Linked DNA regions of Rhinolophus ferrumequinum. The protein of the gene in region 1 purifies or fractionates together with the protein of each later gene. This does not show direct contact. Links are inferred from orthologs where the notes say so. Each region holds a gene or a part of one and is shown in the gene's direction. Other genes may lie near its edges. The genes, in order: PTGES3, FKBP4, DYRK1B and SMYD2.

The links.
Region 2: the proteins of PTGES3 (region 1) and FKBP4 purify together in Homo sapiens (affinity purification with mass spectrometry; 3 studies listed by BioGRID and IntAct, with this or other methods). This does not show direct contact. The link is inferred for Rhinolophus ferrumequinum from reciprocal best matches to the Homo sapiens genes PTGES3 and FKBP4.
Region 3: the proteins of PTGES3 (region 1) and DYRK1B purify together in Homo sapiens (affinity purification with mass spectrometry; 3 studies listed by BioGRID and IntAct, with this or other methods). This does not show direct contact. The link is inferred for Rhinolophus ferrumequinum from reciprocal best matches to the Homo sapiens genes PTGES3 and DYRK1B.
Region 4: the proteins of PTGES3 (region 1) and SMYD2 purify together in Homo sapiens (affinity purification with mass spectrometry; 3 studies listed by BioGRID and IntAct, with this or other methods). This does not show direct contact. The link is inferred for Rhinolophus ferrumequinum from reciprocal best matches to the Homo sapiens genes PTGES3 and SMYD2.

Annotation. Positions count from the first base shown.
Region 1 is NC_046293.1:55,858,971-55,866,284, reverse strand, and holds the start of PTGES3 (prostaglandin E synthase 3), read left to right. Parts: upstream 1-4,302; 5' UTR 4,303-4,778; coding exon 4,779-4,780; intron 4,781-7,314. UniProt on the Homo sapiens protein: Cytosolic prostaglandin synthase that catalyzes the oxidoreduction of prostaglandin endoperoxide H2 (PGH2) to prostaglandin E2 (PGE2).
Region 2 is NC_046293.1:87,936,805-87,944,064, reverse strand, and holds the start of FKBP4 (peptidyl-prolyl cis-trans isomerase FKBP4), read left to right. Parts: upstream 1-4,257; 5' UTR 4,258-4,505; coding exon 4,506-4,610; intron 4,611-6,631; coding exon 6,632-6,776; intron 6,777-7,235; coding exon 7,236-7,260. UniProt on the Homo sapiens protein: Immunophilin protein with PPIase and co-chaperone activities. Component of steroid receptors heterocomplexes through interaction with heat-shock protein 90 (HSP90).
Region 3 is NC_046298.1:38,800,067-38,808,026, reverse strand, and holds the start of DYRK1B (dual specificity tyrosine-phosphorylation-regulated kinase 1B), read left to right. Parts: upstream 1-4,946; 5' UTR 4,947-5,149; coding exon 5,150-5,228; intron 5,229-6,489; coding exon 6,490-6,653; intron 6,654-7,637; coding exon 7,638-7,760; intron 7,761-7,859; coding exon 7,860-7,960. Other genes in the region: FBL (rRNA 2'-O-methyltransferase fibrillarin), read left to right, coding at 473-643, 1,565-1,697, 2,771-2,883, 3,663-3,808, 3,941-3,965.
Region 4 is NC_046305.1:18,452,930-18,460,597, reverse strand, and holds the start of SMYD2 (N-lysine methyltransferase SMYD2), read left to right. Parts: upstream 1-4,665; 5' UTR 4,666-4,828; coding exon 4,829-5,001; intron 5,002-7,668. UniProt on the Homo sapiens protein: Protein-lysine N-methyltransferase that methylates both histones and non-histone proteins, including p53/TP53 and RB1. Specifically trimethylates histone H3 'Lys-4' (H3K4me3) in vivo. The activity requires interaction with HSP90alpha.

The DNA of each region.
Region 1 (7,314 bases):
TCATAACCTTGGTGTATCAGTGTCTCACAGCTGTGTTCATGTGGACGTGTGGCGGTGTCTTGCTGAGTGGCGTTCATTATTGTTCTGTGTTTTTGTGCACCGTCACAAGAATGTCTGAGCTTGAATTAGAGCAACCAACAAACATTTTTTGTTTTACAGGACTTTATTGGGGAACAGTGTGTACTTCCAGGACTTTTTCTAAGTCAAGTTGTTGTTCTTTCAATCTTATTTGTGGAGGGTACAGCTCAGCTCCAGGTCCAGTTGCCATTGTTAGTTGCAGGGGGTCCGCCCCCAGTTGAACCAGCAACCTTGTGGTTGAGAGGACACGCTCCAACCAACTGAGCCATCTGGGAGCTCAGCGGCAGCTCAGCTCAAGGTGCCATGTTCAATCTTAGTTGCAGGGGGCGCTGCCCACCATCCCTTGTGGGAGTCGAGGAATTGAACTGGCAACCTTGTGATTGAGAGCCCACTGGCCCATGTGGGAATTTAACCAGCAGCCTTTGGCGTTAAGAGAATGGAGCTCCAACCGCCTGAGATATTGGGCTGGCCAAGAACAAACATTAAATTCCTTGTTAAACTTGGCAAGAGTGTAAGTGAAATCAGGGACATGTCCAAGTTTATGGGGATAATTCCGTGAAGGAAACGGAGGTATACAAATGGATTAAACGTTTTTCTGAGGGGAGAGAACGCCTCATTGATGAAGAGCGGTCAGGGCAGGCAATAACTAGCAGAACTAACAAAAACATTGCAAAAATTCATCAAATTGTGCACCAAAATCACTGGCTGACTGTGAAAAACATAGCAGACCAAGTAAACATTGATAGACAAATAGTATCGGCGGCCGGTTAGCTCAGTTGGTTAGAGCGTGGTGCTCTTAACAAGGTTGCTCTTTCGATCCCCACATGGGCCACTTGTGAGCTGCGCCCTCCACAACTAGACTGAAACAACTACTTGGCTTGGAGCTGATGGGTCCTGGGAAAAACACACTTAAATAAATAAAAGTTTAAAAAGAAACAGTTAGGAAAATCTTAACTGAAAATCTTGGCATGAGAAAGGTGTGTGCTAAAATGGTCCCAAAGGAGCTCACTGATGAATAAAAGCAAAGGAGAGTTGAAGTTTGCCAAGACCTTTTGGAGAGGCAAGACGATGTTTTGGGCTGTGTTATCACTGGTGATGGAACATGGGTGTACCAATACGACCCTGAAACAAAGTGTCAACGTGCACAATGGAAGTCAGACCATTCTCTGCTACCAAAAAAGTTCTGTCAGTCCAAATGAAGAATCGAAACGATGTTGCTAACCTTTTTTGATATCAGAGGGATTATTCATTATGAATTTGTACCAACTGGACAAACAGCTAACCAAGTGTACTATTTGGAAGTGCTAAAAAAATTGCGTGAAAAAGTTAGACGAAAACAACCTGAACTTTTTGCCAACAATTCATGGTTCTGCATTATGACAATGCACCAGCTCACATGGCACTGTCTGTGAGGGAGTTTTTAGCCAGTAAACAAATAACTGTATTGGATACAGTTAACCTCCCTAACTCACCTAATCTGGCCCCCAATGACTTCTTTACCTCAAGATAAAGCAAATATTGAAAGGAAGACATTTTGATGATATTCAGGATATAGGGTAATATGACAACTCTGATGGCCATTCCGGAGAGTTCCAAAATTGCTTTGAAGGGTGGACTGGGCGCTGGCATTGGTGTATAGATTCCCAAGGGGAATACTTCGAAGGTGACTGTAGTGATATTCAGCAATGAGGTATATAGCACTTTTTCTAGGATGAGTTTGCGAACTTAAGTGTCAGACCTCATACATGTTTGAATCTAGATTTGGGGCCCTACTAGAAACAGAACTTGTTAGTGAATGTGAAAAAACAAAAACAAGAACCTGGTACAACTTGGGTCCCCACCAGCTAATGGTTGTGATAACATGCAAAGCCATGGATAAACCTGATAACTACAGTATTTGTGCAACTTCTGGGTGAGTAGCCATTTCCAGAGTTACACTAACATGAACCCACTTGAAATATGCCCAACAGGGGTATACAATATGAATTCGGAAGCAACAGGTCTGAATTTTCAAAAACTTCTTTTCTGAAAGCCAGTTTTTGGGGCCCGCCCAGTGGCTCAGGCGGTTAGAGCTCCATGCTCCTAACTCCGAAGGCTGCTGGTTCGATTCTCACATGGGCCAGTGGGCTCTCAACCACAAGGTTGCCAGTTCAATTCTTCGAGTCCCGCAAGGGATGGTGGGCAGCACCCCCTGCAACTAAAATTGAACACGGCACCTTGAGCTGAGCTGCCTTTCAGATGGCTCAGTTGGTTGGAGCGCATCCTCTCAACCACAAAGTTGCCGGTTTGACTCCCACAAGGGATGTTGGGGGTGCGCCCACTGCAACTAAGATTGAGCTGAGCTGCCGCTGAGCTCCCAGATGGCTCAGTTGGTTGGAATGTGTCCTCTCAACCACAAGGTTGCCGGTTCGACTCCCGCAAGGGATGGTGGGCTGTGCCCCCTGCAACTAGCAACGGCAACTGGACCTGGAGCTAAGCTGTGCCCTCCACAACTAAGACTGAAAGGACAACAACTTGAAGCTGAACGGCACCCTCTACAACTAAGATTGAAAGGACAACCACTTGACTTGGAAAAAAAAGTCCTGGAAGTACACACTGTTCCCCAATAAAGTCCTGTTCCCTTGCCCCAATAAAATCTTTAAAAAAAAGTTTATAAAAAAAAAAATTTAAAACATGATTCTCCCACAAATATAAAATTAACGTGAGCCAGACATTTAACTTATTGACAGAACCAGTAAGATGGTAAAGCTGGTTCCAGGAGCATTTAAGGAAGTAGGTATTTATAGGCATAAAAATAAATAGAATAAGGTAATAAGTTAAAGGAAACTGTCTTACAGAGCAACAAAACCGTAACTTTGGGGTTAGCTTTTCTGTCAGTCAGAAGTCTACAACTTAACAAGTAACTTCACAATATTTGAGCTCCAATCATGTATTGAATAGCAAAGTCAAACGCAGGTATCTCCCTCCTAGAGACTAATCATTGGGCAAACAGGTTAAACCACATCCCTGTATGAACTGAAAGGTCATCCCTCTACTCCTTGCCTATTTCCATATTTTGGGTAATTTTTATTAAGGAGGCCTGTCCTAATTGTTCCAGTCAATATCGGTATCTCCTCCTTTCGACCTCTCCTCCTTTCATTCTCCCACTACTTTTTGTACTCCCATTATCCTGATTTGTGTATTTATTTCCCCTAACAGGCAGTAGGCTCCTTAGAATCACTATTTGAGAGCTGGGATTTAACTTTCCATTTTAACAGGATTTGGGCACAGGGTCCAGTTGTTCCCAATACCTGCCTTGCACAGCATAGACACTAAATCCTTTTTTAAAAAAATTTATTCTAAGTGTATTTTTCCAGGATCCATTAGCTCCAAATTAGGTAGTTATTTCAATAGAGCTGTGGAGGGCACGCAGCTCACGGGTGGCCCATGAGGGGATCAAACGCGCATCCTTAAGAGCACTGTGCTCTAACCCACCACCCAGGACACTGCTTAATGTTTAATATGAAACCCCCACTTTCTCCAAAAACGTCTTATAGCACTTTCCATAAACCTCCTTTGTATTCTACCTAGGGATGCACTGTATTTCTTCCTTACTCCATTGTTAAACGCGGCCTTCTGGAGTAGGCATGTACTGTTTTGATTCTTGGTTATTATCCTGCATTGCCCTGCACAAAGCCGCAGTGCACTTGGAGAGATCGGTTGAAAACAGATGGGGAACACTCTTCCCCAACTGATGTGCCTGGAGACACGACTGTTCTAGTCCATTCCACAAACCTTGGCTCTCCACTTAAATAATCTTCCTGTCTCACCTACAGTACTAATCTCTCGAAGCAGGGGCAAATGCTCGCCCCCCAATGGCAAACGTTCCTCCTCAAAGGCCTCAAATTTCTGTTGCCCCTGGGCAGGGTCTCCAATCTTCAGAAAAATGGCGAAGTGGACCGAGGCCCTCGAGTCTGAAGTTAGCCCTTTTTCGCAAGTATCACCAGCGAAAGGCGCTCTTTTCAAATCTTTATGCGGTGGACGTATCCTTAGTGAGCTGATGGGGTTCCCTCCACAGTAACCAATCCCCCATTTCACTTTCCAAGCCTCCCGCCTCCGTGCGTCCCTCCACCTCAACCTTCCTCCCGCTGTCAACGCATCAGTCTCCCGGGTAGGTCGCCCAACGCGCGTGGCAAGGCAGTTAGGTGGCCAACGGTTTTCTAACGCGAGAAGGGAGCGCGGGAGGAGAGGCGGGAACAAGTCAGGCCGGAGGGCGGGGGCGAAGGGCGGGGCTTGCGCCGGGAAGGATCGCGAACGAGCTGGGAGGCCCCGCCCTTTCCGTAGATATCTCTAGAAAGCCGGGCCGGAGCCTGAAAACAAAGAGTGCGCAGGCGCGGCGGCAGGGCCCGGGCATTTTGCTGCGTCACCAGCCGCCGCCCGGCCTCACCAGCCCTCGCTCGCACGCACGCACGTTCATTCTCCGTCCTCGCGTCCCTTTTCCTACACTTTCCTCTTCTCCCCGACCGGAGGAGCCGCTCTGTCCGCGCGGTGCATTCTGGGGACCCAGGTCGAACCCTCCGCCGCCCTCGTCTGAGAGAAGCGAGAAGAGGCCGCACCGGGGAGAAAACGCCGGAGTCGGCACCGGAGAGGAGTCGATTGCCCAGCAGCTGCCACCGGAGAGGCCCGCCCACCCGTTTACCCGTCCCCCTGCCCCGTTCACGATGTGAGTGCGACACCCGCCAAGGGATGGTCGCCCCAGAGGGAGGCCGAGGCCACGCTGGGGGTTGCCGGAAAGCGCCCCCTCTCCTTCCCCGCTTTCGGCCCCTCAGTTTTCTCCCCTCCGTGGTGGCAGTCGTTCTTGCCTAGGGGTGGGAGGTCCAGTATCCTTTTTCCGGTTACCGTTGGCGGGTGGAGGACATTTTTCCTCCAGATGTCCGCTTCCCCCACCTCTAAACCGTCCTTCAGCTTCCCATGCCGGAAATCCCACTTTTTTCCCCTGGGCTGTTCGGGTCGCTCCTAACTCTCCGGAACTTAGCTGTAGGCCTTAATCTCCTGTGAGCTTTTTGCCATGCGGCGCCCTGGAGGCGTGGACCGTCTTGGATTGCTACTTCGTTTCTTGGGCGTTCTGGTTCTGCCGCTCTCAGATGCCGGTCCTGGGCCAAGTGCACCTGTGGTGGGTGCTACCAGAGGCCGGTGGTGCTCCTCGTAGAGCACCACGCGGCCCTCCACCGTGAGCGACAAGGGACTGCTAGGCAACCGGAGGGAGGCCAAATCGTCACCACAACTCATTTCTCACGGGTGCCGTGATTTCGCGAGTGGGCGGGGGGCTTTCCAGGCCGCCTCCTAGCTCCGGTCTCTCGAAGAGAGTGAAGGTTGCCTAAACTCAGTCGTGTCCCTGGCAGCGAGGAGTTATACCATAGAACAGGTAGTTCTGCACGTGTCGAGTCGAAGGATAGTTGTGGACATTTTTCAGTGTTCTGTTAAACTTTGTGCGAGGTTTCATGATCCTATCTTAATTTAAGTTTGAAATAGGTATATAACTGCCTTGTTTTAAAGAACTTAAATGTGTTTACGTGGGGGTAACTACAGATTCTTTTTTTATGGTGTAGGAAAACCTTGGTGATTGTAACCGAGGAAGAATTCTTGGCACTGCCGCTTCCGCGCTTTCACATTCTCCTCAGGAAAAGTTTTTACCTTTTCAGATGTGAGAACTGCAGGTTTTATAGGTTTGGGGTTTTTTTGTTTTTTGTTTTTTAACTGCTCTCCTTTTTAACGGAGAGCAATAGAAGGGGAACAATTTTTATTCCTATAAAAAGTAATGCACTTTCAATTTCATTTAAAATAATAACTGACGGTGAGTATATTGGGCTAGAATTTTAAATGGAAAGGATACACTCTGAGTTGATGTCGGAGAACAAGCCTCTAGAAGAACACATGTATTACTGTAAAGGGGATATATTAGCATTTTGGAAGGATTTCCCCCTCTAAAAGTGGTATCTAATAGATTTTGATCTATGTAAAATAGCTTTTGTTTTTCCCTTTGAAATCTCTTCTAAACAATGTAGCAGGATTGTCAATCTTAAAATATGAGTACAAAATGAATACTCAGAGCATTACCAACTTTTAATAGACTAATGTAGCCAAATATATCTTTTCACAAAGAAATACCATATTTAGTATGGTTTGAAATAGAAGTTTTCTAGAGATCATATAAAATAAAGTAGGTAAGACACGTTATGTAAGTGGATTAAAAGTGTAACAACCAATACCAAAAGCCTTCTATGTAGTTTATAAGAATGCTACTTCAAAATGAGTGTTTTGAAGAGGCCAGATAATTTCATCCTCTTTAAAATATTCAGTATATGTCACCTTGCAAATTCTTTAGGGGATCTTACTGAACTAATAATGACTTGAATGAATTTACAAGGTGAATATTATGAGTCAGTTGCTTAGTTGCAAAAAAACATTTAATGGGTCATCCAGTCCTAGGAAGAATCTGTCTGATAATGGTCTGATAATCATTTTGTTGATGTCTGCTATAAAAATTTTTTTAGATATGGAGAGAGACATTTATGCTGGATATATTAAGGGTTTTAGGGTCTGTTTTTTCTTACTGAATTCTCTTTAGTAGCGATTTTGTAGGTAAGTTTCTTCTAATCAAATTTTTAAAGTTTTGTCTAGTAGTTTACATAAAAGCCATCAATCTCTCACCTACCTTGGAGATGGCTAGGATTTTAGGACCTCCCTTTGCCCATTTAAGACAAGCCCAGCCAAAGCCTCTGGGGGGTGGGGCGCGGGCACTACTTGTTTTTTTTTTTAAATTAGCTCTTGTTGGTTCTAATTCTAAATTGGACCATAACAATTGGACCCATAAACAATAGATACAAAGAAAATGTTTTATTAATTTTGAGCTATTTGAAGTCATTCTTTCTGGAGTCTGGTACTTAATAAATTGTCCAGAAACATACTGTGACTATTTAACATCGGTTAAAATCTTTCTTCCTTTGCCATCACTCCACTTTATAAGATTGAGACCCCAAAATAAAATCAGTCTTTAGCCTCCAAAACAGTTTGTAATAGTGAACATGTGCTAGATAGTTAATTTCTGTAAGTTAAGGAAGAGTAACTGATGATGGCCTTTGTTAAGTGTTGATTTCCTAACCACTGTAACTTGGCAACTGGATTTACTTTTTTCTTAGTTAGACTTTAACTAGAATGCAGTAGAAACTGGAATGGACAAATCACTTGAGTGCAGAC
Region 2 (7,260 bases), about 32 Mb from region 1:
AATCTGAAAAAAAAGCTTCTAGAATTTTAAAAAGCAAAAATAAAAAGGAGACTATGTTTGTGACCATGGAATAGGCAAAGATTTTCTAAACAAGACACACAAAAAAACCTCTAACCAAAATTGGGCAGAAAGAAATAAAACTATCTTTAGTCACAGATGACATGATCATCCATGTATGAAATCCAAAATAACCAACAACAATAAAAAACTAATGGAATTAATAGGAATTATAGCAAGGTTGCAGGATAGAGATTTATATGCAAATCTTTGTATTTCCCATATACCAGCAATGAACAAGTGCAATTTGAAAGTAAAAACAGGATACCATTTACATTAGCACCCCCAAAATAAAATCTAATCTAACAAAGATATAAATCTAACATAATATGTACAAGATCTACATGAAGAAAAATACAAAACTCTGATGAAGGAGATCAAAGAACTAAATAAACGGGGAGAAAGTCCATTTTACTTGGATAGGAAGACTCAATATTGTCACACCATCAGTTCCTCCAAACTTGATCTATAGATTCAATGCAATCCCAATCAAAATCCCAGCAAATTATTTTGCAGATATCAACAAACTTCTAAAGCTTATATGAAGAGGCAAAAGACTCAGAATAGCAAACACAATACTGAAGGAGATAAACAAAGTTGGAGGATGGATATTACCAGACTTCAAGACTTACTACTATAAAGTGACAGCAATCAAGACAGTGTGGTTTTGGTGAAAGTATAGACAAATAGATCAGTGTCACAGAAAAGACAGGCCAGAAATAAGACTCATATAAATACAGTCAACTGAACTTTGACAAAGGAACAAAGGCAATACAATGGAGCCAACAAATGGTGCTGGAACAACTGGACATCCACAAGCAAAAAAATGCATCTAGACACAGACCTTACACCCTTGCCCAAGGACCTATGGGGTGTGTTCAATGACGAAGCTGAGATTTGAATCCAGGTAGACCCAATCCAGAGTCCATGAGCTTAATCTTTACACTATGCACGTCTCCACTGTGTGCAGGCCTCACATAAAGGTCTACTATTTTTCAAATGTATGAAAATGCAGCTGTCATCACTAAAATAAGTAAATAAATAAATGTTTCATGAAATGTATAGTAGCCGTTTTGGCCAGTGGTATAGTTTGTGTTTTCTTAGTAAACAGATACCAAACGTAGCAAGAAATTACGTAAGGATACTTACCATTTTTGGTATTACAGTTTTGACACAAATCATATTGGTAATGTTCTAATTCTTAGGTTGGGTGATATATTCCCAAGGTTCATTATGTTGGTATGTTACATAACATGTGTACTCGTATGTACATGCATATGCCTCACCTTCTTTTGAATGATTCAAATATTATATAATTTTTTACATGTTTAAGAGCACTGGTAGCCTAAGAAGGTCAAAATAGCAACTTTAAAAAAACAAGAGGGTCTTCATGTGTGAAGGACAGGCCCAGCATTAGGGAAGTGAACCAAATGAGCTCAGGAAGGCTCATTTTGGCAATAACAAAACTTCTAACCACAGCATGAGTCACCTACAGAGTAAGGTAGATGATTTAAAAAAAAAAAAAGTGTGTTATCTTTCTCTAGCAAAAGGGGAAAATTTCGGAACGATTTTGAATGTCTAGATGATACCAGTGAAAACAATTACATTGTTAAACATCTTTGATGAGAATACTAATTTAAATTAGTGTTAGGGCTGGGAAAGGGGTAAGGAAGAGGAGGGAAAGAACAAAACATCCATGCACTTTCTACATTGAATATGTGTAAGTTTTACAATCAGAAGACTATAACGTAAATAACCAGAAAAAAATTCTGGAAACAATAAGGTCCTGCTCAGAGATTCAAGAGCCCAATGCCTACTGTCCCTCTCCTCCCCCTTTCCCCTCCCAGCCCCTCATCTACTCACTCACTGAATGGGGACAGAACTTTCTCAGTGGAAACCCTTCCCTCTTGTCTTTCCCCTTTCCCTTCCACCCTATCTTCCCCCTCTCTCACAGACCTCTCTATTTTTAGCACTTTGTCCCTATCTCCACCATCACACTTATCACATGAGAATAATGACCATAATTTATTAACCACCCACTTGAAGGCGGGCATTGTGCTAGATACCTGACATACACATTCCTTCATCTTTAACCATCACCATCCTCATTGACAGACATTACTATCCCCAGAACCTGCCCCAAATCAAACAGTTAGCACGTGGGCGACCCAATTCTTTGTTTCCTCCAACACATATGCTCTTTCTACTGTTATTAAATTATGTGTTTATGCAATGGCAGGCACATCTTAAGTGCTCAATTAATGAGTGCTGGCAGGAATTAAAAGACATAGACCTATCCTGTTTGCTTCCAATAAAGAAAAAGATGCAGAAATCACTAATCTAAAGTTGAACCTTTTCTATCTCACCTTGTTATGCCAGTGGCCCTAGCATCAAAAGAAACTAGCACATGCTGAAAGCAAGTGCATAAACCAACAGCAAGATAACTGCCAAACCCACAAGCCACCACCTTACCCTCGATCCCTGACTCCTGGAGTTTTGGAGGGCCTCGGCACTGTTACTTCTTATCCTACTACGGAAAGTGTAGAAAAGAAATTGTTTTAACCCCTAGAGAGTCAATCCTCAATATCCTTTGAGGGTATCCTGTCATCTAATGAGAAACGTCTTTTTGTGGCTAAACTCATTTGCTGTAAATTGCTGGAGAAAATGGTTTTATTTCTTCAGCATCTCTTTCCAGTGAAATTCTATCAGAAAGGAGTATGATAAATTATCAAATTATGTTATGGTATTGAAGTTTCATCTGAACAGTCTTTTAATTACCTACCTAAATGGGACAGTTTGCCTATAAGAGCACAGTGCCGGGCGCATAGCGAGGGCTCCAAAAAATGTATTATTATTATTATTATTATTAATTATTGGAATACAAATGCATGTAGCCAATAATTATTTGATACCACTCACCAGGAACTATTCACCAGGAACAATGCTAAACTGGGGCTAAGTGCTGAGCAAAATTAAGACCCTCTCTACATGGATCCTTTTATCAAAAGGCTATTTTTTGGGAACTAGGTGTTGCTTTGACCCACTGCACAGATACTCTGCACTCCACAGGCAGTCAATAAACACTTAGGAACCAAATATTAAGAAGAAAATATATCTTCCCATGGGCCTTTAGTAAAATGTAATGACTTTTTTCATGAGTTGAAACCATTTTTTAAAATTTGTTATTTTTTTAGTTTCAGGTGTACAAAGCAACGGTAACAGTTAGACATTTAAACCCCTCATAAAGTGATAACCCATCCCACCCCCCAAGCTACTACCCTTGACATCTTATACAGCTGTTATAATACCATCGACTATCTTCCCTATGTTGTACTCCACATCCCGTGACTATATATACCTATATATTTAGTTATAGTTGGTATTTAGTGTTATTCTTCTTCAGCTCTTTCGGTGTATAGCACATTGGTCAGGCACGTTTTTTGTTTTTAAGTATCAGCCAAATCGACAGTTTTATTATTGTCGGGGAAGGTCCCTTTAATACGTGTCCCATTTAAGAACTCTTAGCGCAGCGAGTCATTTCTTGAATATCAGCTGCTCAGTAGCATTTTAAAGAACTGAAGGTGGCACATCTTCCCCGCTCTGGGGAAATCAAGACTGCTTTCGCCCAATTCTGTGCACTTGGGTAACCGCCACTCACTCACTGTCCCCCTATTCCGCCCCGCGAATTCCCTTCCCCTTTTTCTCCCCAATTCGGTAAGTGCACACGCGGAGTGAGCAGGGGGAGGCCATGCCGTCTGTTTACAGTCAGCTTTTATAAAAAATGCGCGCATCGGTCCCGGAGAGACCCACGCACTGCCACTTACATCCGGCTACACAGCTCTGAACAAACCACGCTGCGGGCTGCAATATATAGGGCGGATCTGGGTTGGCAGGCTAGGTACTGGAGTGATGTAGGGGCATCGAGAAGGATCTGGAAGAATCCGGTTAGACCGGGAACAGGGCGAGGGAGGGCCTGGGAGAACACGGGGCAGGGAGGGGCGGTCTCCAGAGTCCGAGGGTCCCAGGACTCGGGGGAGAGGGGCCAGGCAACCCGCAGAAGGAATGAACCAGAAATAGAAATTTTCATATAAGCGCCCTTGGCACTAGAGCCCGAACTAGATTAGCCGCCGCCGTCTCTAGAAACTTCTCCATCTCCACCCCTCCGTCCCTCGTTCCCGCTCCGACTCCTCCCAGCCCCTCCCTCCGCGGCGGGGTGGGACCAATCGCTCCCCCGGCCGCTCAGTACCCACCTACTCCGGCTCCCGCGCCGGACTCCGCTGCGGGCCGCGAGCGCACCGGGAGGCAGAGGGGCTCGAGCCTTGGACGGGTTCTCAGGTCTGCGGCCGTGGGGCCGGCGCACGCACCCCCGTGCAGAGAGGCCGGCGGCCGAGAGGGCTTGGCTCGTGCCCAGTGTCCAGCTCCCCGAGTAAACGGCGCACCGAGCGGCGATGACCGCTGAGGAGATGAAGGCGGCCGAGAGCGGGGCGCAGTCGGCACCCCTGCCCCTGGAGGGAGTGGACATCAGCCCCAAGCAGGATGAAGGAGTACTGAAGGTAAGGGCGAGGGGCGCCCGGGGAGCTCAGGGCCTGCTGGGGGCGGCCGAGCCCCGAGTGTCAATCGCAGCACTCTCCCGCCGAGCCTGGAAGCCCCGGACCGGGGAACGGGGCGGGGACCGCTGCCTCTGCAGCCTCCGGGACAGTTGTTGAGTGGTCCTGCAGCGGGCGGCCAGTTATGTCGCCTTCCTGAACTAGACTGCGTTTGGGAGCGAGAGAGCAGCCGCACGCTCGGAAAAGGGTGGCCTAGGTGCGCAGGCCTCCCCTTGGCCATTTTCCCGGCCCCCTTGAAAGCCTGTGTTCTGGGCTGAGACTCCCAGCCCCGGGGCACCCTCAGCCGTGTGGCGCCTGGGCCTGGGCAAGGGGCCGGGACTGCAACGCCAACTCCGGCGTGCGCGGTGCAGCGAGGAGGGGGGCGGGGGAGAGGGGAGGGAAGGGGCGCGGCGGCGCACGCGAGCTGCAGCTAGGGGGCCCGGGGCAGCGTGCACCCGGGGCCGGGCCTCCGCCGACGCCGCCCCTCCCTCACCTCTCTCCGACCCCGCGGGGGGGGCCAAGCTGCCAGCTCCTTCCCTGCCGGCAGCAGCGGGGAAGGTCCTGGGCCGCCTTCATCCCGGGTGGTGCGAGAGTTCGCCTATCCCTGACAGTTAAATATTAGCTAGGACCTGAAGTGGGTCTCAAGAGTAATTTCTTGGCCCAGAGGTCTGCGTGCAACTTTGGCGCCTGTCCTGGCCGCGAGGAAGGTTCTCGCGACCTCCGCCCTCTCGTTACCCCCTTTCTAAAGGCTGGGACTCAGCTAGGTCACTCGCTCAACCATGCTATCCCTCCTCCCCCCAGCCCCGGGAAAACCAGGGAGCGGTGCATGCCGGGACCTGTAGTTTCCATCGCACCTCGGCCCCCCCCTTTCTGATTTGGGGTGTGGGGTGCGGGGCCGAGAGGAGGTGCTTTGCTTGGGAGCTTGCTACTGTGTAACCGCCTGACTGCAAATAGCCAGAGGAGTGAAGGGGGAGGGGTCTGGGACTCAGGGAACAGGGCAACTTGACCTGGGTCAGGGCAACCAACTGGTTCAGAGCAGATTCTGCGGAGTCCAGGATGACGATGAAATCTCTGCCGGGATCTCATGCCCACTGCTCAACTCCACGTGTGTGTGTGACCTGGGCAAACTCAGGGAGCCTTTACCTGGTCCAGAAGTGCTTTGCCCCAATCTTGACATTTCAAGCTGTTCTCCCAATGGCGGTGTGGCTTCCCCTTCTCTCTGCAGTGTCAGGTGATTTCTACAAGGTTATCACCATCCTCCACTCTTTTCCCTTAACTTGACTCCTCAGTCCCCTGTCCATTCTATCATGGAAGCTTTCCTGAAGAGGGCAACGTCACACCTACCAGGTTGCACATGGAGTTTATCTTTTATAAATGCTGAGGGAGAGAAGCAGAAGCTTATAAGTTCCTAGGACTTACCTCACCTACCAGTCAGGAATGCTCATGTCCCAAGTGAGAGTTTGGGGTCTGATCGAGAGCCCTTGCGCTCATCTGTAACCTGGTGTATTCCTTTCCCTCTTTTTGAGTCTTCATTACTAGTACTCCTGATCTCCAAACTAGATCTTAATCTGATGACCACTGGCATTTAAGAAGAATGAGGAAACAGCATAAACAGTTCTCCCTGTGCAGCTGATAATAAATTTTACCGATTTAATCTTCCAACAGCTCTAAGAGGAATTATCATCACTACTTTACTAATAAGGTCTAGAGAGTTTGAATGACTTATCCACGATCATACAGCAAAAACTTGAACTTGGGTCTTTTGACTCCAGTTTTTCAAACCAAATCATGTCGCACCTCAAGAAAGACAGCGAGGTCAGTTGGCTTCTAGCCAAGTTCCATGTCAGAATCATTTGAGGATTGGTCCCTTGAATCTACTTACAAGGAGGCAGCAGAGTCCCTCTATGTTCCTGTCAGAGGCATGCAGGCAGTTTTGTGCCTCGTTCTATCCCCCTCCCTGGGTTCTCACCTTCTCCCCTTCCTCCAAGGTCATCAAGCGAGAGGGCACGGGCACAGAGATGCCCATGATTGGGGACCGAGTCTCAGTTCACTACACTGGCTGGCTGTTAGATGGCACCAAGTTTGACTCCAGTCTGGACCGCAAGGACAAATTCTGCTTTGACCTGGGAAAAGGTAGGCGTGGTTAGTGGCTTGGTAGGTAGACTGAGGAGAGCATACGCTGTCACAAGCAGAAACCATATTCTCAGAAGCTCACTGGAGGAGTGGTTTATAACAGTGTGTTACTTTTTTTTTCTTTTCTGTTATTCCTTTGTCTTGTAACAGTATTGATTTCTCTCATTTACCTGATCATCTCTAAATACCTCACTTCCTCTTCAGAAGTGGACTGCCTTGTTTCTTGAACTCCTTTGTTCCAGAATACAGTGATTATTATTATTATTATTATTATTATTATTATTATCATCTTTTTGAGACGTCTGAGACCTGACAGCACTTACTGTAACCAAGCTTCCTACCTTCCTGATCCCATTTCTAAAGCATGTCCCGCTTCCCTTCAGGCATAGTACTCCGGGACCACTGAGCCCAGAGTCAGAGCCCTACCAAGAAGGACCTGTTTGCTTTCTGTACCTACAGGGGAGGTCATCAAGGCTTGGGACAT
Region 3 (7,960 bases), on another chromosome or scaffold:
CCCCTTTTCTCATTATCACCTGTCTCTCACCTTGCTCCCACATTTCTCTTCTCCCTGGCTTGATCTTTTCTCCTCAGCACCTGTCACTGGCTACTGTGTTGTACATGGTGTGAATCAGTTCAGTGTATATATACTTACTCCTTGAGGGGAGGGATCTCTTGTCGCCGTCACTGTGTATCCCCAGTGCCTACCGTAGTGTCTGTACATAGTATGTGCTGACACCATAAATGTTTGTGGAATGAATGCATACATCTTGCCACTGTCTGGTACGATCTTACCTGTTTATTATCTGTCGCTGCCCCTTCTCCCTGAGTCAGTAACCTCCATGAGAGGGCAGGCACTGATATCTGTCCACATTTGTCTCTTGTACAGTGATTGCGCACCCATCCCTTTGAGGGCCCTAGAGTTAAGGGCAGTGGGGTCTCACAGGAGAGTCTGGCACTGAGTTCCATCCCCATCTCTTCCTGCCCAGGAGGGAGATGACAAAATCGAGTACCGCGCCTGGAACCCCTTCCGCTCTAAGCTGGCCGCCGCGATCCTGGGAGGCGTGGACCAGATTCACATCAAGCCAGGGGCCAAAGTGCTCTACCTTGGGGCTGCGTCGGGCACCACCGTCTCTCATGTCTCTGACATCGTAGGCCCAGTGAGTGAACAGGGGTGGAGGGTGAGGAAGGGCTGGTGGGAAGGTGGGAGGGAGAGAAAGGCCACCTCCTCTGCCAGCCAGAAGCCCTGCACGGCATGGCTTGGAGCAAGGCCCTCCTCAGAGTACCTGTTAGTAAAAGGTACTTGAACTGCCTGCTCTCCAAAGCCTCATTCAGCCTCATTCCTGAGTTCTTGGCCCGGAGGGAGGGGGGCGTGAGCATTGGAGTAACCTGTGTTAGAGGGACCCAGAGCTGAGTGTACAGATACCAGATTATTTGATTTGGTTGCTGTTTAAAACAAGTGATGCTCCCAAAGTCTGGTGGTCTGGTTTCTCTTGAAAGAACAGGAGATTTCAATTTCTGGGCCAGCATTTGCTATACAGGCTCCCTGTTTAGAGGGTACCTGTGCATCTCACTTCACGACACCTAGCTTATCTGTATAACTATAGGCTGTGTAATTTAGTGGTCAGAAACCCCAGGCTCTAGTGCAGGCATTTAACAGTAACATGGCTTTCAGCAAGTTACTTAACCTCTCTGAGCCTCAGTTTACCTCTCTGGGTAAATAGGTTTGTTGTGAAGATAATTGAGTTAATTCCTATAAAGTGCTTAGAGCAATACCTGGCCTGTTGCAAATATTCTTAGCTGTTATGACTTCATCTCTGTGCCCTAGCTTCCTGGTTTTAAGCCTGTATTGGGGGCATGAGCTTTCAGATCAGGCAAAGCAGGAGTGAATAACCCTGGGCCAAGGACTTCATGAAGTCTCTGCACCTCAGTTTATTCATCTGTAAAATGGACATGGCAACAATAGTTGTTAAAAGTAGCGTTTTGATTTGGGAGTTTGAGGAGATGCTTCGTGCATTTTATGGGCCCAAAGTAGGTGCTCCACACATGAGAACTAGTATCTTCGTTATTATTTATTTTAGGATGGTCTGGTCTATGCAGTTGAGTTCTCCCACCGCTCTGGCCGGGACCTCATTAACTTGGCCAAGAAAAGGACCAATATTATTCCTGTCATCGAAGATGCTCGGCACCCCCACAAATACCGCATGCTCATCGGTGAGGGGTCTGGGGTTTGGCCCAAGTGGGGTAGGACAGGTCACTCCAGGTTTCCTGGAAGAGGCTGCCAGAGCCCTGATTTGGATGGAATTGGAGTGGATGAGCAGGCCTCTTGAGTCTGCAGGAATGCAAAGGGTGGGGGGAGCCAGGTGAGGTTGTGAAGGTGGTGGTCCTGGTTCAGGGTCTCAGATGTCTGGCACCCTCAGAGGGCCAGCCTTCTCTCCTCTGATCTCTTGCCCCTCTCCCTAGCGCCCCCATACTTCCTACCTCCCTCTAAAAAATGGTGCTTTTACACTGCCCCTGGCCTTTGTGTAAAAGCCTCCCTCCAAAGTCCTCTTCTCATCATCTGGTGAGATTATAACCCAGAAAGCACAAACTGAGTGTGGCCTGGTTCGGAGCGGCCCATTGTGAATATTAATGACTGTTTTTTTGAAAAACTTCGGAAGCATATTGTAAAAATGGAATGCTTTATAAATCACCCCTAGGTAATTTATATGAACAGTTTGATGTCTGCTCTTCCCAATTTAAAAAGTCAGTTTCCTTACACCATCTTTTCATTTTTTTAAGTTTTTTTTTTTTAAGTCACACTGCCTTAAAAAATACTACTTTGCATTCTGCTGGTTTTTCTTTTGTTGAGTTTTTTTCCATGCACTCATACCACACCCTTTGTCCTGCAACTTGTTTTCATCTGACAATCCTGCAGACGCTCTTGCCTGTAAGTGCTCATCTTTACTTGCCTTTTTGATGACGTGTCTGTCTCCCCCCCAGACCCGGGAGCGTCTCGAGGGCAGGGTCCGGGTCTGACTCGTCTCTCTGTCCCCCACGCCCGGCCCGGGGCTGGCCACAGAGTAGGTGGCAACCATGGTTTATAAGAGGCGTGAATGAATGGTGTGATTGTGGGTTTTGGTTTATCTTGGGGGTACCGTGGAGGGAGGGGGGTCAGTGGGGGGAAGTGAGACTGGAGGCAGGAAAGACTTTACCAGGAACCTAGTGGTGACGGGGCACAGGCCCCATGGGAGGAGCTGGGAAGATCCAGTGGACCCAGCTTTTAACTTCCACTTTTTTCTCCCTAGCAATGGTAGATGTGATCTTTGCCGATGTGGCCCAGCCAGACCAGACCCGAATAGTAGCCCTGAATGCCCACACCTTCCTACGAAATGGAGGACACTTTGTGATTTCCATTAAGGTGCGGGGCTTCATATCTTTTCTATCAGTAATTGCCAAGCAGCCAGTCAAAGCAAGGGAGCCTCCATCCCTCCGAATCCAGTCTATTCCCAGCCTCTATCCCAACCCTTCTCCCTATAAGTCATCCTCTGCCCCCAAATAGCACATAATGAAAAATTTCTGCAAAACTAGCAGCTTTGGATTTAAAGAGGCAATAGAATGTAGTGGGGAAGTGCACGATCACCAAGTCTGACCATCTGAGTTGAAATTCCAGTTTGCTTTGTCACTTTGAATAAGTTACTTGTGTGCCTATTTCTAGACTTGTAAAATAGAAATATTAGTCCTATTTTTTAGTGTTGATGTAAGGATTAAATTTATCAACATGTGAAGTGTTTAGAACAGAGCCTGGTATAGAATACTAGATAAATACTAGGTGCATGTTAAAAAACATTTCATTTTGAAATACAGTGAACTTCCTTGTGTGCCCTTCCACCAGATTCACCATTTTGTTAAGATTTCTGCTACATTTGTTTTCATATTCTCAGCTTCATTATTACTTTTAGAGAAGAGGAAATAGAAGGGGAAAAAAAACCCGAGTAAAAAATTCAAACACTGACATTTAAATAAATAGGGCTCTGTTGAAGGTTTCCTTTTCCAAATCTAGACCAAACTGAAAATTTCCAAAACCTGAGTGAGTTTCACCATTTCCAGTAAAATAAATACTTCCGGTTTAAAGAGCACACACACACATAAAATAACCCAAAACCTCGCTGTAGACTTCAAATCCTCTTTCCTCTCTAGGCCAACTGCATTGACTCCACAGCCTCTGCGGAGGCAGTGTTTGCCTCTGAAGTGAAAAAGATGCAACAGGAGAACATGAAGCCCCAGGAGCAGTTAACCCTAGAGCCATACGAAAGAGACCACGCTGTGGTCGTGGGTGTGTACAGGTGAGCAGAAGACCCAGTATTCCGCCAGGACAGACATTTGTCCCCTACGCTCAGAGCCACGCGGGTCAGTACTTAGGAGTGCCTGCACAGTGGTGACAAGCTGTGACGCTCCTTATATTCTTCTTCTCGCAGGCCACCTCCCAAGGTGAAGAACTGAAGCCCAGAACCCATCTGGATTGTGAGAGATTGTGTTGCTACTGTTACACGTGTGTTTTTCTATTAAAAGACTCATCTGTCGCTCCTGTCTGGTCAGCTGATTGCTTGGCGACCTCTAGTGACAATAGGGCGCAGGCGCCCTTGGTCGACTTGCGCGGTGTGGGGGTGGACATTCTCATCCGGGTACACAGCGCATGCTACCTCTTGCACCGCTGTAACCCGGCTTCGGCGCTTGGGAGGGGTTGGTAGCTCACTGCGCTTATGTGCCGGTGAGCTCGGATGAGCGCAGGCGCGGAGTGTTGCCCTGGGTCACGTGAGAGGGAGCAGATGGGGCTGTGGGGGCGGAGCCTGGGGCGGGGGGGGGGCCGGTTTGTTGTGGTCGCCATTTTGCTGGTTGCATTACTGGGTAATCAGGGCCCTGGCTCGCCGCGTCCGCCAGATACCTTCAGCCACTTGGCAGGTCTGAGCTCGGGCTTCCCGAGCAGTTTGAGTCCCCTTGCCCGCGCTCTCAGGTAACGACGCGGCTACGGACCGCGCAGCTCGCGCTCGCGGTAGGGGGAGCAGTACGGGACCCGCCCTGCCCGCGTCGCTGCGAGAGTTAGCACGAGGCCGAGGGAGGAGAGGAGGGGAGCGGCGGGCTGGTGCAGGCCGTGCCTGGCTATTCATAGTCGGATTCCTGGAAGGGGCCGAGCCCTAGGGAGCTGTCCTTGGAGGGGGTAGCGGGGCCCCGCTCCCGCCCTTTGTTTGGGCTCAGCTCTGCCGGCCGCATCGCCGTTGCCTAGCAACAGCAGCCCTGGACTGTGATTGGTTGAGCTCTTCGCAGCAGCGACCAATGGCACGGTTGTTGCCATGGCAGGTGTGGACTGCCAAGTTCAGGCCGACCCCGCGGGCCGGGGCGGGCCGCTAGGGTGGGGGGCGGGCCGCCGGTGTCCCCGGGGGCGGGTGGCTGCGCGGGGCGGGGCCGGCGGGGCGAGGGTTAACCCACCCCTCCCCCGTCCACCTGCTTTTCCTTACCCCCGCGTGCCCCGGGCTGACCCTCGTCCCCTCCTTTTCCCTCCCCCAGCGGCGGCGGCGGCGGCTGCTGCTGTTGTCACCCACCGGGCCGCCTGTCCCGCTTGCCCTCCCCGCTGCGGGGCTTGCCGGGCCGGCCGGGCCGGGACAGGCGGCCGTCTCCTCACCGCCGCCATGCTGGCTGCTCGCCCACCCCACTGGGGGCCCCACCGCGCCCCAGCCCCTCGTGGGCCCCGCGCCAGCCCTGACCCGGGTACGGGGTGGGGACTGGGAGAGACGGTCCTGGTGTGGGAGGGCCCCGGGAAAGAGATTGTTTTGGGGGGGGGCCTCCAAGAGAGAGGAGGGGTCGTGGAGTGGCAAGGTTTGGCATAAAAGAAAAGGACTGACAGGAGGGAAGGCCTGTGGGAGGATTTTGGTGTGGCAGATACTCTGGGAGGAAAGAACTCTGATATTTGGGGAATTTGGCTGTGGGGGCCTTCGAGGAATGGGCACAGTTGTGGATCGACTGGAGTGGAGCAGACTGACTGGAGAAAGGCCCCTGGTAGGAATGCTGGATTGGGAGGAGGTGGGCAGGATCCAGTGTAGGGGAGAGAAGGACGATCACTAAACCGTGGGAAGAGGCGCTCGGCTTCCCCTTTGTGCCCATCAGGAGTGGGCCTTGACTGGGAGGGGGCCTTGGACTAATACCGGGGAGAGCTGCGTTGTGGCACGAGGGAACTGGAATATGGTGTGGAGAAACTAGATGGAGGGGTGGCCCCTGAGGTGGGAGGGAATAATATGGAGAAGAGGTCTTGGCATAGAAGGGTGTGCCCTTGTGGGTGAGAGGGCCATAGGGGTAGGAGTCTGATATGGAGGGGTTCTCAGATAACAGTGGTCAGGAAGTCCCCAAGGACCCTGATGTGGTTTTAGGGGCCTGCAGAGGACTTTGCTATGGTTTGGCAGGGGCACAGAGGACTCTCATGTGGTTTGGGGGATACCCTAGAGTTCTCTGGATTGGGAGGTCTTCTGGGAAGGCAGATCTTGAAGCAGAGGGACCTTGCTGTGATAAGAGATGACACCCTTACTTTCGAGGAAGACTGCAGGAGGGCAGGATCGTGTGTGAGGGGGCTCTGGGGAGGGCTGCAAGTGGAAATGGAGTGAACCCTGTTCCCTATACTGTCTGTGGTTTCTGTCTTTCTCCTCTCTTCCTGCCCCCAATTGTTGGTGTCTTTCTGTCCTTTCCTGTCATGACCCATATCCTGCCTGCGCCTAATCACTCCTTTTCACATGTCCCTCTTTGTGCTGCCTACCTCATTTATTTGGTAATCATTTGTTGAGGGACTCCACTGTGCTTTCCCTACCGTTCACCTGGCCACTTCTCTCTGTCCCCTCTCTGCATTGTCAACTGTTGCTCTGCTGCACCCCTTTCCTTCTCCCTTTGTGCCCTGCCCTCTAATGTTCACCTCTTTCCTGCCTGGCATTGTCCCACACATCCCCTGTTCCGTGTTGTTCCCCCGCCTCCCGCCTGCTCTCAGGTCTCAGCGGCGGTGGCAGCCGAGGTGCAGGATGCGAGAAGGCGCCCCCCGGCCGGGCTCCCGCTCCAGGCCTCGCTCCCCTGCGGCCCTCTGAGCCCACCATGGCCGTTCCACCGGGCCATGGTCCCTTCTCTGGCTTCCCTGGGCCCCAGGAGCACACGCAGGTACGCGTTCAGCTGGCTCCTCACCTGCCTGGGGTCGGGGGAGGCTGGGGATAGAAGGGTGCTGGGGCCAAAAGACAGTATGATTGCCCAGGACAGTTTCCCAGGGGCATGAAGGGCCCCATGGGAGTGGAAGATAATAGAAGAGCTGCTGGCAGAGTCAGGGTTTGGAGGGCCTGAGTTCAAATCCAGACTGGTGGTAAAATTACTTAGGTTCTCCATGCTTCAGTTTTCTGATCTGTAAAATGGGGGCAATAATGATACCTACCTCACAGGGTTGTTGTGAGGATTAAACGGGTTAATGAAATGCATGTAAAATGCTGAGGACAGTGCCTGGCACATAGTAAACAATAAATGTTCACTAAGAAAAAAAAAGTCTAGAATGAAAGATCTGAGGGGGTGAATGGGGAGGAAGGTTGAGCCTGAAGGGTCTCAGAGCCAGCAGGGCCTGCGGGTACAGGGTGAAGATCTTCAAGGGGAGAGAATGTTAAGGCTCGGAAATACAGTTTGGAGTGGGAGGTCCTGGGTGCTGGATCCAGAGCAAAAGACCCTTGAGGTGAAAGAACGGGGCAAAGAATGAGGTGTGAACATTGGGAAATCCCCAGGGGATGAGGGTAAAACCAGACGGGGGCCCTCAAGGTGGGATACCCAGAATGGATGGTGTCAGGCGAAAGATTGGGGAGCAGAGCCCAGGTTTTCTATGTGAGCTCTCACACTGAGTTTCAGAAAGAGTAAATGTGTGTGATGATTTACCCAGCCAATCTCTAGTGATCATCCACTACGTGCCAGGCTCTGCTCCCGGCCCCGGAGATACAGCAAGAACAGGACAAAGCCTCTGCCCCTGGGGACTTTCTCTGCTAGTGGGGTTGTCAGACAGTGACCACATAAATATGCGTGTGGTAACAATGAACCAGCTGCCCATATAGTTCTCCCCCTGAGGTTGGAGGTGAAGGTCTGTCCTCAGTGCCCACCGCTCACCCCGCCCAGCAGGTACTCCCTGATGTGCGGCTCTTGCCGCGGAGGCTCCCCCTGGCCTTCCGGGATTCGACCTCGGCCCCACTGCGCAAGCTCTCCGTGGACCTCATCAAGACCTACAAGCACATCAATGAGGTGGGCTGGGGTGGGGGGCCCAGGTTGGGTGCTGAGGGGTCCTGGCTGCTGGCACAGCTCACTTACCAGTCCTCATCTCCTGGCTGGCCGGCCGGGCAGGTCTACTATGCGAAGAAGAAACGGCGGGCCCAGCAGGCACCCCCTCAGGACTCAAGCACCAAGAAGGAGAAGAAGGTCCTGAACCACGGTTATGACGACGA
Region 4 (7,668 bases), on another chromosome or scaffold:
GGTCCAGAGCATGGACGGACGGGTCACACACAGCTCGCTTTCAGTGCCACCCCCACTGTTCTCTTGGACAAGTTATTTAACCATAGTGATTCGGGGTCTTCATCTTCAAGATGTGGTGAGGAGAATTAAGTGAGTATATATTTACAAAGTGCCCTGGTACATCAGAAGAGCTATGGAAATGTTTGTTAAAGAAAAAGAATTCTCTGGATTGTCAAGTTCTCTTCTACCTCAGTGAATTTACACCTGCAGAATCTTAAACCCATTTTGGGGGGCCTTCTTTCCCTTGGTCAATCTTTATCTTCCTTCTAGTCTTTCAGTTCCTCTGTGAAGCCTTTCTGCTCTACTTTGTTCGACTTCCTACTAAAACTTCTATTGTATTATAATTTATATTAGTTTCCTACGGCTGCTGTGACAAATTACCCCAGAATGGATGGCTTACTACAACAGATATTTATTCTCTTATGGTTCTGGAGGCTGGAAGTCTGAAATCAGCATCAATGGGCTGAACTGAAGGTGTTGGCAGGGCCACACTCATTCCAGAGGCTCTTAAGGGAAAATCTGTGACTTGCCTCTTCCGGCTTCTGGTGGCCATCTGCATTCCTTGGTCAGTGGGTACACCACTCTGGCCCTGTGATAACACTGCTGCCTCCTTGTCTGTCTGTGTGAAATCTCCTCTGCCTCTCTCTTGTCAGGACACTTGTGACTGCATTGAGGGCCAGCCCTGATAAACCAGGGTAATCATGCCACCTCAAGATTCTCAATTGAACACATCTCCAAGACTCTCTTAAACCATGAAAAGTAACGTTTACAGGTTCCAGGGATTGGGACCTAATACCTTTGGTTGCCATTCAGCAGCTACTACATAACTGTTTGCATGTAGGTTGGTCTTTTCACCTTTGTAGAACAAGGGTCTACCACAGCCTAAGCATATAATCTATAATCAATAACTGAAATACATGCAGAGGTATGCCGGTATAGGGTATAGGTCCATTGCCCACGTTTATCAGGACTTCACTTTGTTAAGGCTTGACTTCCCTAGGCCAGAGCTATTAATATTTCTTTCATGTGCTAATCTGTGATTGGAAGGAAATTTTACTCACGAATTAAACCAATTTCTAGGTTAGAGATATTAAGCAAAGGGGGCCTTTGTCCTTGTATCACCTGAGCTACAGTGAGGTGACCAAAAAACTCCATTCAAACTCCATTCCTTCCAAGCCATGGGACAGAAGGAAAAGATGGAGGGACCCTGACAGCTGGAAGGCGTCCCTACTCTTGCACGGAATGTGAGAATGTGGCGTGGCAGACTGACAAGCATGAACTGAATCAAGAGTGCTGTCATCAGTTTGCCCAGGCTGGTTTGTTGCCATTCCTTCGCCATTTATATTAAACCCAGTTTTCTTCATAATTTAAAGCTCCTCAATTCATAGCTGTTGCTTCATGACCATTTCCCCATGTCTAGTCACTGGAGTTCAGCACAAGCATTTTTCTGAAACGAGTATGTTTCTTTTCCCTTGTTCTTAAATCACAGGAATACGTGATTCACCCACAAGAACAAGTCTGTTCCAGTCACCACGTACCTGGAAAGACAACTCAGTAACCACGCTATTGTTTTTCTCAGCGGTTGGAAACCTTTCTTAATGAAAGGGGAAAAAATCAGGTACTTGCAATAAAAAAAGTAAACAAGGAGATTACTTTGCACAATTACTCCTTGTAACGTGTGTACTGTTTATAATTGTTTCTTTACTTTTATGTCATCTTTTCACCTTTGTGCTGGTTGGAGCCCCCAGAAAGCAGAAAGTTAAAAAAAACTATAGAACCCAAAAATTTATCCAAGATTTGCCTAGGTAGGCACATATTCAGAAACTTCTAAGGTTTGAGAAATTTCTTTCATTAACATATAATATCCATCTGTAATAAAACACAACAATCAGCATCGCTTTAGATAGCAGCATGACTGGCATAAAGCTCATCTATTAGAGTAGTCTGGCACCTGTTGGAGGATGTTTGGTCAGAGTAGATCCTGTAGCTTGACCAACCAGGAGAACTACTTACCTCCTAAAACCATCTCAAACATCACTCTCCCTCTAGCTCTGCTCCAGTCACTCTCTTTCATACAGATTACACCTATGGAACTTTGCACATGCTGTTCCCTCTGCTCAGAATACTTGTCCCCCCTACTCTTGATTGAATTCTGTTCATCTTTTGGATTTAGTTCAGGCATTACTTTCTGGAAAGCTTTCCCAGACTAGTGTAGATCCCCTAAGCACTGCCTTAGCACTTGAGACCATTGAGTTTGTATTTGTGTGAATATGTGATTAATGTCTGCTTCCTCCAGACCATACAAAGCTCTCTGAGAGCAGAGAATAAGTCATTAGTCAGTTTTTGTTACCATTATATCATCAGCCCTTATCACTGTCATTGGAACACAGTACACAGGTAATGAATGTTTAAATGTTGAATGAATATGTGGTGGAATCTCATGCTAGCTCTGCCCACCCCTGGGTTGTTAGGCAAGTTATTTAAATTCACAGGGTCTCACTTTTCTCATTAGTAAGAAAATGCTTCCTCCAGTCCCAAAATTCTAGGATATTTATGGTTCCTGTCTCGAGCATATAAGATTGATCCGGCTATAGTTAGCAAGCCAACATTCTGTGTTATCTGCCTGCCTATATCTCCCCATATGGAGACCATATGCCAAGCAAGAAACTGGAATTACTCTGACATACCTTTGCTTCTTTCCCTAATGCCACTACCTAATTCTGGCTTTCTTTATCTCCCATTTAAAATATTGGACATGTTCCCTTACATGCTGGTGTTCAGTCCTCTCTCCTGCCAGTCTATCTGCAAAGCTGCCAGGGAACTCAGTCTAAAACACTGGACCCCTCTGTTTAAATACTTTCAGTGACTCCCACACATCTGGGACAAAATTCACCCCATGAGAGGATGCCGTTCCACTGTTCCCCTCACCTCCTGCCCTCTCTGTCCCACTCAGAATCACACGGGGGTGGGGGAGAGGAGGGGTACGTTTACATGCTCTTCTTTCAGGCCCCCCTGCCTGTACATGCTGTTCTCTGGCTGGAAAACCATTCTCCTCTTACAGGTGCAAAGTCCCGTCCATCCTTTAGGCTCAGACCAAACCCTCACTCCCCAGGCTGAGTTTGTCATGCACTGCCTGTATTCCCACAGAACACTTTGTACAAGCTACCATAACACTTAGTAAGCTGTATTTGTTTGCAAAAGGACATTTGGGGTGAGTGCATGGGCCTCAAATTCAGACTGACCTGAAGGTGAAACCAAACTCTGCAACTTAACTGTGTGGCCTTGGGGATTATTTTGCGTCTTAGTTGCCTAATTTTGGAAATGGGAGACATACCACCTAACTCATTGGGTGGCTGTTATTATAGATTAAATGAGATACTGTGTTTCATGCACTTAGCACAAAGCCTGATCCATAATACTCAATAACTAATGGTTAATTATTAGAATGTGAATGTGTTGAATGCAAAGACCCAGGCCTGTATCTTGTCCAACTTTCTATCCTCGTGACTAGCACATAGTGGGAGCTCCCAGCGAACGCTTCTTAAATGCATAAATGAAATCGTATCCCTAACGTATTTTTCTTTACAGGCTTATTCATTTTAGGAATTTCACTTAAGTGTCAACAATTCTACGGACCTTATGACATACCCCAAATCATATGCGTCTTTCCTTTTGCTGAACTAGTCCTGAGCTTACACAGGTAACATAGTTTGAGAACAGACGAGTTTTAAGTGTTTTCTATTCTCTTTATGCTTTTAGTCTTTACTGAATGCACGTCAACTTCAGCCTTCACATAAGCCCATGGGCACACAGAGTATGTCCTCCTTTTTCATAGGAACAACCTCAACAGCACGCATGTGTACAGGACGTATGTGCCAAGCACTGTTAACATCCTCTATGAGCCGCATAACCTGACTTTTCTAACGTGACAGTCAGTGAGTGGTCCAACTCTGGCCACAGCAGGGCCTTGCCCCCAACAAGCGGCTTAAGTTCCTTGAAGGCAAGGTTATCTCTTGGCTTCCTCGGCAGCGTCTGACCTCCGCGGCCCTGTGCATTTCCTCTTCCGTCCGTGTAATTAACTCCCGCTAGAGGAGCAGAGGGATGATTATGTTCACACCGAACAAAACTCGAGAGGCTCCCTGCAAAGTTTAAAAACCTTTAAACTTAAGGAACCACCCTTAAATCCTCAGCACATCAAACTTTTCTACTGTCATTTCTCTTCCGTGTTCCCGGATGACTCCTTCTAGGGTCCCTGACGAGGACACATGCACATGAGGCTAAAAACCACCTTTGCCCCCTTCAAGTTACCAAGGACAGGTCATCCTATGGGCCAAGCCGACTGTCCAGGGGACGCCTTGGATACTTGTCCCCGTAGGCGACCCTATCCTGCCCACGGGACGGGGGACAGCGTTCCGCTGTCTCCGTGGAGACGCGGCGGAGGCGCAGACGTCTCACGTCCTCCTTCCAGGAGCCGCAAAGGCTGCAACTCTTTGTCGCGGCCACACCGGAAGCGGCCCCGAGCGCGTTCGGGGCTGCCGCCGAGGGTCCCGCGCTCGAGGCGGGACCGCGGGTCTTGTCCCCGTCCCGCCGGGGGCGCGCGAGGACCGGGCGGGGCCGTCGTCCCTTCCGGGGAGCGGTGGCCGCCGCCGCGTCGGCCGGGCTGCTTCCCACCCCGCCCCCCGCAGCTCTGGGTGACGCTTCTCCAATAACAGCTCGCGGGGAGCCGCAGCTCCGGGCTCAGCCAGCGCCGGGCGCCCCTCCGAGCCAGCCCGCCCGCCTCGCCGCCACCATGAGGGCCGAGGGATACGGCGGCCTGGAGCGCTTCAGCAGCCCGGGCAAGGGCCGGGGGCTGCGGGCCCTGCAGCCCTTCCAGGTGGGGGACTTGCTCTTCTCCTGCCCGGCCTACGCCTACGTGCTCACGGTCAACGAGAGGGGCAACCACTGCGAACACTGCTTCGCCAGGTAGGCGGCGATCGGCGGGCGGGCGGGCGGGCGGGCGGGAGCGGGGGCGCAGCGCCGCGGCTCGGACCGCGGCGGGAGGAAGTGCGCGCGGCGCGCAGGGTCCTAGCGCCGGACTCTGGGGCAGCGGCCACGGGGGGCGGGCGGGGCTTTTTAACCCCACGCGGGGCTGAGCCACCGGCGATAGGAAACCGGAGGCAAGTTCCCGCCGCATGCTCTGCCTGCATGGCACGTTTTCAGACTTGCGTACGCAGGATGTACCTGCCTGGGAGCTGGGAGGGCAGAGTCCTGCTCTCCAGCGTGAGCTCAGAGCTAGGCTTGTGCCACGCCTGGCCAGGCGCTGCCCACTCGTTGCTTTGCCAGCGGGGGCTCCAGGTACATGTGCTTCCTGCGGCTTGTTCTGTTCCCCACAGCCCAGCCCTGCCGCAGATTTGCTGTTTCCTTCAAGGAACTTAATGACACTTAACATTTCGTGTAAAGTATATGGCCCCTCTTCTTCCTTCGTAGTCTCTGCACTTTGGAGAGAAGCCAGAGGGGCGGTACCAGACCCCCGGGATTCTGAGGGTCTGCACTGATGGGATGTATCCAGCCCAGTTTTGGGACTGGGTAGACATGGTCGCTGAGGGGATTAGGCAAAATGTGTGGCATTTAATTGTAGCATATGACATGTATAAGTGTCTCTGTTCGTATATATGCATATTTATTCACATCAACACAATTATATCTTCAAGTCTTATGATAGCTTTAGACTTGAAAGGCACATTAGAAATTACCCCATGGATCCTTAGATTAAGGAACAATACTGATACTATGTCCATCAGTGTCTACATCTATAAATCTCCTACAGTTTGAAAGTACGTGTAATTACAAATAAAGCTACTATAAACAAACAAACAAAAAAAGAAATTACTAATGCGAGGTCAGAAGACACACACAGTCTGAAAGTAAAAGAATGGAAAAAGATATGGCATGAAAATGGAAACAAGGTAACTACTTATACCAGACAAAATAGACTTTAAAACAAAGGCTACAACAAGAGACAAAGTAGGACCTCATAATCCCACTTCTGGGTATTTATCTGAAGACCCCAAAACGCTACTTTGAGGAGACGTGTGCATCCATATTTTCATTGCAGCATTGTTTACAATGGCCAAGATGTGGAGGCAGCCTGGGAGTCCATCGATGGATGAATGGATAAAGAGTAGGTGGTACATGTACACAACGGAATATTGCTCGGCCAGGGAAGGGAATCGGATCTTGCCACTGTGGCAGCATGGATGGACCTGCAGGGTATTATGCTGAGTAAAGTATGTCAGACAGCAAAAGACAGATGCAATGTGATTTCACTTAAAGGTGGAATCTAAAAAGCAAAACAAACAAACAAAACAGAAACAAAGTCATATATACAGAGAACATTTTGATGGTGTTCAGACTGGGGTGGGGGGAGATGAGAGAGCAGTTGAGGATGGGTGAAAAAGGGATAAAGAAGTACGAATTGGTTGTTACAAAGTAGTCATGGAGATGTAGGGAATAGCTAAGGAATATATAAAAAAAAAAAAAAAAGAAGAAGAAATTCCCAATGCAACACTCTCTCTATTTTACAGGCAAGAAAACTAATACCCAGAGAGGAAGTGTAACTGTGTATACATAGTCACACCTACAGTTAAGAGAATGAAATCTGGTCTCTTCAATTCTGTTCATTTTCCACGTAGTTAGGTGCTCGGTAAAATTAGTGAGGCAGGAAGCATGGTTTTGGCATTAACTCTGTACCTGGCCTTCCACTACTCTCTGAGGAATGGATCCTGCTGTACTTTCTTTGAACCTCAGTTTCTTTATCTTTGAAATGGAGATTCTTGGGCTAGATGAAGTGAAGCTGATGTCCTGCAGGTACCTTTTGAATACAGGTCTCAAGTCCAGCATACGCTGAAATACTCTATCTCTGAGACCTGTGCACCTTATTCCATAATAAGACATAGTAAAAAAAAGGGACAAAAGCTAAATACTATAGTAATCTTGCCCAGACTCCCTACCAGAGCTATCTTCCGCTTGGGGGGACCTGGAAAGGAACTAGACACAGAATCATACCGTGGGCAGCTTAAGGGCTGTATGTGATGTGGCTCTTTGAATTGGTGAGCCAAGAGCTAAAGGGTCACGGCACCACTTTGCGACATGTGAGTGAAGTGAGCATTGGGTTTTCCCAAAGTTAAAAAGGCTGCTGTGACTGGTCCCCTTGATCTTCTGAGCCTTGCTGTGGCTCAGAGTCTGAAGCAGTGTGGGTGTCTAGAGTGGCAGGAGCAAAGCGGGGTCACCAGTCACAGAAGGTGCCTCCCTCCCTTCATCAGGGATCCTGGTGATTCCTGGAGTCCATCGTGTGAAAGAAGACTGCAGTGCCAGGTACATAGTAGGTACTCAGATGGTAGTACAAGTCCACTCCTCCAGTGAATTACAAATCAAAATCCCTCTGGGTTCAGAGCTTCTCTTTAGCTGTGAATCTCCTGTCTACTCCACATACCCCCAAACCTTAGAACATTAATATACAGTCAGATGCAACTTGGCAGATCACCTTGCCACGTGTGACAAAATTTGCTTTCCTCCTCCATTTTCTGAATGACTGTTTGTTAGTGTCGCTAACTGTTGCCTGAAACCCTTCACCAGGGGCGGTTCTACTGC